2 linked regions of the Oryctolagus cuniculus genome follow. The protein of the gene in region 2 purifies or fractionates together with the protein of the main gene of each other region. This does not show direct contact. Links are inferred from orthologs where the notes say so. Each region holds a gene or a part of one and is shown on either strand. Other genes may lie near its edges.

The links.
Region 1: the proteins of TOM1 (region 2) and ZFYVE16 purify together in Homo sapiens (affinity purification with western blotting; 3 studies listed by BioGRID and IntAct, with this or other methods). This does not show direct contact. The link is inferred for Oryctolagus cuniculus from reciprocal best matches to the Homo sapiens genes TOM1 and ZFYVE16.

Annotation. Positions count from the first base shown.
Region 1 is NC_091445.1:3,969,342-3,973,605, forward strand, and holds the start of ZFYVE16 (zinc finger FYVE domain-containing protein 16), read left to right. Parts: upstream 1-1,353; 5' UTR 1,354-1,729; intron 1,730-2,000; exon of another isoform or gene 2,001-2,139; intron 2,140-3,946; exon of another isoform or gene 3,947-4,047; intron 4,048-4,264.
Region 2 is NC_091442.1:112,927,319-112,931,453, forward strand, and holds the end of TOM1 (target of Myb1 membrane trafficking protein), read left to right. Parts: intron 1-314; coding exon 315-368; intron 369-1,579; coding exon 1,580-1,639; intron 1,640-2,600; coding exon 2,601-2,640; intron 2,641-2,722; coding exon 2,723-2,877; 3' UTR 2,878-3,521; downstream 3,522-4,135.

The DNA.
Region 1 (4,264 bases), on a different chromosome or scaffold from region 2:
CAGGCCAAAGTCAGGAGCCAGGATCTCCCATGGAGGTGGAAGGGTTCCAAGCACATGAGCCACCTTCTGCTACTTTTCCCAGGCCATTAGCAGGGAGCTGGATTGGAGGAGCAACTGGGACTGGAAACAGCACCCGTATGGGACGCTGGCTTCGCGAGTGAGGACTTTCCATGCTACACCATTATGTTGGCCCCATGTTAGTGTATTTCATTCACTCTTTAACATGTATTGGACAAGCATAACGACTTCATACTACACACACATTGATAAATATTTTTAAATATTTAAAATGCTTTATCATGATTTCCTCAAATTATCAGAATTCTTTGTAAAGGTAAATTTAATGGTTTGACACAAATATATAGTCATCTTTTTTTTTTTTTTACTATTTTCTTATTGTATTTTAGAATGTTGTCAATTTTAAAACACAAATATTGTCATGGTAAATATATTTCCATTATGCGTAAACCTTTGTTTTCTGGAGTAACTCCTTATACATTCCAAAAGGAAAATTATAGAATTAGGTCATGTGAACATTTAAAGGGTCTTGATATGATTTGACAGATAACTTTCCTAACTGGGGCAGGGGGATGCTGTGGTGTAGCGGGTTAAGTTGCTACTTGGGAAACTCATATCCCGTGTCAGAGTACCGATTTGATTCCTGGCTGCTGCACTTCCCATCCAGCTCCCTGCTAACGCACACGGGAAGCAGGTGAAGATAACTCAAGTGCTTGGGTCCCTGGCACCATATGGAGACCTGGTGGAATTTCTGGCTCCTGGCTTTGACTTGGCCCAGCCCTGGCTTTTGTGGCCATTTGAAGACTGAACCAGAGGATGCAAGATCTGTCACTTGCCTTTCAAGCAAATAAATCTTGTAAAAAATCCTAACTTGGTCTAATTTATATCCCCATCAGAGTGTGAGTGTTCACCCTACTCTCGCTGATGGAGTTTGTTCACACTCCAAAGTGGCTAAACTGGATCCATGGGACCTGTCATTTTTTGTCTTTATGTGATTAATGAGTTTGAACACTACAATAACTTAGTAAAACGTTTAACTGTTGTATTTGTGGATTCAGCGTTCACGTACACACGTTTTTCCTTTGCCGGGTTAGGGTCTCGGTGTCTCGCCTACTCCTGCTCTCGGTCCTTGCGCTGCTCCAGACTTCTGTCCAGGCTGCACTGGACCCGACAGTGGCTGCACGAGGCCGTGCCCCTCGGGTTGTGTGTGTCAGCCGCGGAAATGCTTCCTGGACTTACTGAGAAGGCCAGCAAACGCAAAGCAGATGCCCAGTACAGTTCCGGGCAGTCAACACTTTACACCTGGACTACAGCCAGGCCACCCCCGCTTCCAGTGCAGGAAGCCCGAGATTCGAGATTCTTTCCGAACGATGGAAAACCGCAGATTGGAAGCTCGACTCTCCCATCCTTCACCACAAACCCCACGTGTCTGGAATATTCTTGAGATAGTATGATTCCTGTCACTTTCGGAAAAGCGGACGTGGGCCTGAGCTTGTTGAAACGCGGGCTTTCGCGTTCGCGGCGGTGCGGCCGCTCGCTCGGATGCGCGCAGGGGCCTCGGCCCCGGGCACGCGCTCGCGGCAGAAACAGCGACGCTCCGCCACACACACACACTCGGGCCGCTTCTGACAGAAGTCAGCGTTTGTTTCCAGTCAGCGCAGCTGTTCTCCGGCCGCTGACTGAAACGCAGAACGGCGGCGGCGACGGCCGGGTGAGCACCGGACCGGACCGGACCGGACCGGAGAAGGCCAGTCGGCACCGGGGCCGACCGGCCCGCCCACTGCAGCGCTGAGTCGGCGACGGGCAGGGGTCGCCGGACGCGGACGAGCGTCACCCCTCCTCACGATCCGAGCCCGAAACGCGCGGCGGCGCCCACCCCAGGGCCTGGTCAGGCACTTCCGGCTCGCACCGCATCGCAGCGCGCAGGCGCCCGGGACCGCGCGGGCGGGGGGCGTGTGCGCCGCGCGGCCTCTCCTGCGCCTGCGCGGGCCGCGCCGCTCGGGTCGGCGGGGGCAGACCCTGCGCCGACGTCGCGCACTGCCGCGGCTCCGGCCGGGGTCGCTCTCGCTGCCCAGCGCGGCGTCCGCGGCGAGGCCCCGAGCTCCGCAGGGCTGTGGGGAGGTAAGTGGCCGCCGGGGCCTCGCCTCAGCCCTGCCGCGCTCCCTCACCAGAGCCGCCGGCTCGGGGCCCGCACTCGACCCCCGCAGCAAGGGGCAGGCCGGCCGGGAGCTGAGGGCCGCAGGGCCGCCGCGCAGTCCGCTCGGGGGTCCCGCCCTGGGGCCGCCGCGGGGCTGACCTTCCTGGCGGCCAGCGCCTTTGTGGGCCCGGGTCCCTCGCGGGCCGGCGCCGGGACGCGCCTTCGCGAAGCCAAGTTGGTCTCTGACGGGCGCCGGCGATGCGGTGCGGGGTTCGCCGCCGCCGGGCGTCCGGCCGAGGTGCGGTGGCTCGCTGCGGTGGAGCTGCGTGGAGTGGTCCCCGCGCTGCTTCCTTCACTGCCTCCGTGCCTTTGCTGAATTAAGAGGACGGGGTTTCGTGTATAGGTAGTGGCATTGGGTGTTTTCTTGCTGAAGTTTGCATTTCAGTTTCCCAAGTTCTAAATAAGCTTCGTAGGCATAACTTTGGCTTTTGGAGTACACGAGCACAACGGAGTTGGAAACGGTGAAATTGCGATGGAAGCCAAGTTCCCGTCGATCTGTGGGCCCCAGACGCAGGGAAAAGTGATGGGCTAGGATAGTGCCACAGTCCACTGAACATTATGACTGGGGGGAGTCACGCTTAAAAATGAACGGCCCCAGAGAGTTTTTGTTCATTAATGCAGTATATTTACCATTTTGGAAATGAAAGCGCAGAACATAATTAACTTGTTCATTTAAAAGTAGCAAGCTCCGCTGTAAGGAAAAGTTAAGTGTTTGAAGAGAAATTGGCTTTGCATGGACATTGCAAACATTTGCATATATATGGAAACACTGCTTGGTATGCCATTGGTCTGTTGTTTTTGAGTATAAAAGATTTATTTATTTATTCGAAAGAGTTACAGAGTGAGGAGAGGCAGAGAGAGAGAGAGAGAGAGAGAGAGAGAGAGAGAGGTCTTCCATAAGCTGGTTCACTCCCCAGATGGCTGCAGCGGCCAGTGCTGCGCCGATTGGAAGCCAGGAGCCAAGAGCTTCTTCCAGGTCTCCCACGTGGGTGCAGGGCCCAAGGACTTGAGCCATCTTCCACTGCTATCCCAGGCCATAGCAGAGAGCTGGATGGGAAGAGGAGCAGCCGGGACTAGAACCAGTGCCCATATGGGATGCCTGCACTTCAGGCCAGGGCGTTAACCCGCTGTGCCACAGCGCCGGCCCCTGAGTATTAAACTTCTAAAGAGAGTTAGTGGATCAAGTTATTAGGAATGTTTTTGAGGCTGTTGATATAAAATATAAATATATATATTTCTAGCCATATTATTTTCTTTAGAGATTGTACCAGTGTACTTTTTGTCATCACATCTTTGCCAACATTTAATACTTTTATTATTTAAAAAAGTAGTTTTCACTTAGTAAGCACCAAAAAAAATGTGGAGCATTACTTTGTTAGTTCATTGAGCATTTTAGTGTAATATTACAGTTCTCTGTTGATATTATTTGCCCAATTATAGTACAATGCCCAAGTGTCTTTATAACAGATTTTTAGGAAAAGAACACAATTATTTTTTCCTGTTTACCAAAGTATTGCTTGTAAGAAAATGAAATGTCATAGAGACATAGAGTGTAGCTATGAAATGCTTACATAATCCCATGTCCAGATTTATGGAATTATTGACAAATGTTCCTCATATTTCCCCATGTGTCTTTGCTAGTGCAATTTTTTTTTAACAATTCATTTGTAATAAGGGGCTTATAACATGCAGAAACTTTGCTGTTTGATTTTCGTTCATTTAACATTGTAGGTTGGATATTTTTCCTCAGCAGTACGTTTAACTGTGTGGCAGAGTTTTACCCAGAGTGGTTTTGGGCACGGGGACCGTGATCTTCAGTTCCCTGATGTCAGGTCTGTGTCCTCTCTTCTGGGTGGTCTCATCCCACAGCTTAGGGTGCTGGTTTCTAAATCTCTGTCTCAGGCGGCTCTCCTGCATTCCGATCCTTGCCCTAGAAGGATGTTCTCGAGGTTGTTCAGGCAAACAGCAGTCCAGGAGTGGGCGCGTGCTTGACTTCATCCCTCTGCTCTTGGTGTTGCCTGTCATAGCCAGTGGCACCACCGTCTGTTT
Region 2 (4,135 bases):
GGGTGCCCGTCGGAAGCCTTCGGGAGCCCCCAGCCTGCCCTCTGGGTGTTTGTGGGAAGGCCTGAGAAGTCTTGTGTAAGTTGCTCTCAGCTTTGCCTTGACCCATGCAAGGCCCTGGCGGCCCAGAGCTATGAGATTCATCCCACAGTGAGGCCCCCTCTGCCGATTCCCCTGTCCCTTTGCACCTGCTGTCCCATCCGCCATCCGGTACAGCCCTGCACACACACAGGCCTCAGAGCCTGCGGGAGGAGGCTGCCGGCCTGCCGGGCCCAGGCCTGCCCCTCCTGCTCGGTCAGCCTGGCTCTGTCCCCCAGGAGGGAGGCAGCGGTGAGAAGAGCTTCCGTGACTGGATGGTGAGACAAGGCATGGTGAGCAGGAGCCAGGCCCGGCCCCCAGGAAGCTGGACTGCTGCTGGCAGGGCTCCGGCCTCGGCGCAGAAGCAGGGCCTCGGTGGTGCTGTCTGAGGGCGTGGGGCCGAGGAGGGCCTGCCGGGCCCCACGGCTCAGGCCATCGCCAGGCGGGTCACCCCGCACTGGCCTGGTCCCGCTCCTGCATGCTGGCTTCCGAAGCCCTGCAGTGTGCGTGTCCCACCGCCCTCGGGCAGGGCCAAGGTGGCCCTTCTGCAGGGGACTGGGAGAGGGCGCAGGCGCGGTGCTGCTGAAGGGTTGGCGCCTGCCTGTGCTCTGGGCGCGGTGCTGCCGGCGGGGTCCTCGGGGGCTGGGTGACGGAACTTGGCGACCAGAGCGGCTTGGTGGGAGAAGGACTCTCGCTTGCCCTCCTGGCACTGAGGTCTCTGCAGCCCTCCTCTGTGCTGTGCCCAGCCCTGCATCTGTCCTCCTGTTGTCCCCCTCTCCATGGTAGGGACCCGTGGTCTCCTCCGGGGGAGAGGGGAGCTAGTGCAAGGAGGTGAAGCCCGTGCCGGGAGTCATGGTGCGCCAAGGGGCGGGGCCAGACGGGACTCTCCCACCCTGAGCCCTGCCCATGACCTCCATCTGGGGTCTGGCACCGCAGAAGCGGGGCGAGAAGGCCCTGGCCCAGCCCCGGAGTGGGTGCCTCCTGGTCGAGCCCAGGTCTTCGTGGCCCTCAGCGAAACGTCCCGATGCTTGGGCTGCCCCTCAGACTCCACCAGCCTGGCCAGGCCTCACTTCCTGTCTGCCTTGGGGCTCTTCTCCACTCCCTTCTGCTGCAAACCCCGGCTCTGCGCAGGTGCCAGGACACGGAAGCTGGTGGCAGTGGCCTGGGCCGTGGCCGTGGCCGTGGCCATGGCCCGGCCCAGCTCTGGTGGCTGGAGAAGGCGGCTCTCGTGCCCCTGGGCTGTTGTTCCCGGGCACCTGCGCCTGGGGTGGCCCCATCCTGGGCCTTTGCACAGCCGGAACCCCGCCTGCACCACCGTGTGCTGGAACTGGGGCTCCACTGTCCTCGTGGGGAGGGGCAACCTTGGGCCCCTGCCCCAGAGCAGGGCGAGGTGGCGGCTTGGGGCAGGGCTGGTGACTGGCAAGGGCCATCCAGCAAGGGGACACTGGCCGGCGGGGCCGTGTCGCCTGCCACACTGTCCTCCCCCGTCACCCCTTCCCTGCAGGTTCCCGTCGCCCAGGCCTGCCTCATGGAGGACATCGAGCAGTGGCTGTCTACCGACGTGGTGAGTGGGGCCCTTGCCCGCCCGCAGGGCCCAGGGAGGAGCCATAGTGGCCAGTGGGGGTCTCGGGGCAGGAGGCTGCCCACCCCATGTCACATGTCACAGACCGCCTGGGGCAGTGGTCACCCTTCTCTAAAGGGACGTGCCCAGAGCGGGAGAGGCGGTGCCAGGACGTGGGGCCCTGGGCACCAGCATTCTCCAACCCCAGGGAGCAGAAGAGGCAGCGTCAGGCTCAGCTCCTCCATGCACCCAGCACCCCCCGGCACCGAGCACCCAGCACCCAGCACTTGCTGGCCAAAGCCACGACCCAGCCCCTTCCCAGCTCCCAGCTACGGCAGGAAGTCCCCAGGTGTCAGACCGCCCGGGAAGGAAATTAATGGACACCCCCCCCCCCAGGACACACTGGGCACTGCGCCCTGTGCTTGGCCTCTGGGTATATTAGCTCACTTAAAAATTGTTTATTTATTTTCACTTTATTTGAAAAGCAGAGAGACCGATCTTATTCCCCAAATGCCCACATAGCCTGAGCCAGGCCAGGCCAAAGCCAGGAGCCGTGAACTCCATGTGGGTCTCCCACAGGGGTGGCAGGGACCCAGGCACTTGAGCCGTCACCTGCTGCTTCCCAAAGTGCACATTAGCAGGGAGCTGGGTTGGAAACGGAGCCAGAACGCAACACCAGGCCCTCTGGGCCGCGGCCCCGCACTCTTGCCCTGTCCCAGTCCGGGTGGAAGCCTCCAGCTCTGTGTCCAGTCCCCGTGGTGCCACAGAAGAAGCCACGGCTCTGAGAAGGCAGACGGCACCCAAGCCCTGCAGCTCGGGGGTTGAGGGCCGGGTGCTGTGCGGGCCGGGGACAGAGCCAGAGCGGGACACCAGCAAAGTGGCTCAGGGGAGCCTGAGCTGTCAGCTCCGCCCCGTCGCGGGGGCCAGGCCACTAACCTCTGCCTCCTCTCCTCCTGCTTCCCAGGGGAACGACGCGGAAGATCCCAAGGGCGTCACCAGTGAAGGTAGAAGCGCCCAGCCCACCCCCGCCCCCGCCCTCTCCCCCAGCCTGGCCTCCAAGCCCACCCCTCCCTCTCCTTCCTCTAGAGTTTGACAAGTTCCTGGAAGAACGGGCCAAAGCGGCCGACCGGCTGCCCAGCCTCCCCAGCCCCGCAGGCGAGGGGCCCCGGGGTGCCCCTGCTGGCGCGGCCCCCCGGAAGAAGACGCAGGAAAAGGATGACGACATGCTGTTTGCCTTATGAGCGTGGGGTCTGGCACCCTGTGCCCGGCCCCGGCGGGCCTTGCTCCCTCCTTTGGTGTCCAGCTGCTTGGGGTCCCTGAGACGGGGCCGGCCCGGCTGCGGCTGCGCCGTGCTGCCTGGCGCCCGGGGAGGCAGCGGCGTGGATCTGGTCAGCTCTGCAGTGGGATCCTGGCCGGCTCTGCCTCCTCCCCTACCCCGCTGGGCCCTGCTGCCTTCGCTGAGAACTGGGAGACCCCAGGACAGACAGACTGGCTGCGTGTTGGCACCGTGGGACTCTGCCCTGGGCCCGTCCCCACTGAGCCCTTGAGAGCCCACACTGCCAGTTAAGGCTGCCACAGCCTCGAGTCCCTGGCCCCTCCGTGGGGCCCCCAGGCTTTAGCGAGCTGTGGGGGGCCGATGTGGTGACCCCTCGCTGTGCTGCTCTATCCAGGTACGAAGCTCAGAGGCTCAGGGTGGGGCAAGTCCCCAACAGCCCAGGCTGCAAGGTGAGGCCTGGGGGCTGCCTGGGCTCTGTGGCCCCACCCCACCCCCACTGCCTCTCCCGGCCTGGCCCGGCCCTTGGCCTTCCTCCGTCCTCCTGTTGGTGGCGCCTCTCGTGCTGGGAGAGGTGCCTTTTGTACCCCCGATTAAAGGTAGACAACCACCTGCCAGTAGCCTGGTCCAGTGGGGGCGGGGCAGGAGCCCACTGAGAGGCCGGCATCTGCGGATGTGCCCGGGGTGGTGGCACTGAGTTGAGTGTCTGCCGCCCTGCAGCCGTGGCACGTGGCCCACAGGGAGGGGAGGTGCCCGGCCACCCCAGCTGGGGCGCAGGTGCCCAGCTGCGCAGCGGCCCTGGGAAGTCAGGTCTCTGTTGTCTTCAGAAGAGGGGCGGGCGCGTTGCCCCACGTTTCAGATGCCCAGGTCGGATGCCGTGGCACAGCGCAAGGCGCCGCACCCCGGGGCAGGGGCAGGGGCAGGGGCAGGCGTCGGCCCTCGCCCTGCTCCCCGGCAGCTCCAGAGCCCCGGGTCCCGCAGTGTCAGCACCCCAGGCTCCCCAGAAGTCACTGCTCACAGCCTCTGGGTCCCGCCTTCAGTGGTGGGAGGGGTGGGGCTGCCAGGGCTTCCCTGCAAGGTGACCCGGGGAGGAGAGGTCTGGACGGGGGTGCTCAGGGCCTGGGCTCCTGGGAGGGGTGGGATCGGTGGGCTGCCCTGGCTCCATCGTAGTGAGTTAGGTATGTAGCTGGCCCCGCCCTCCGTGGGCGAGGAGAACAGGGGAGGGG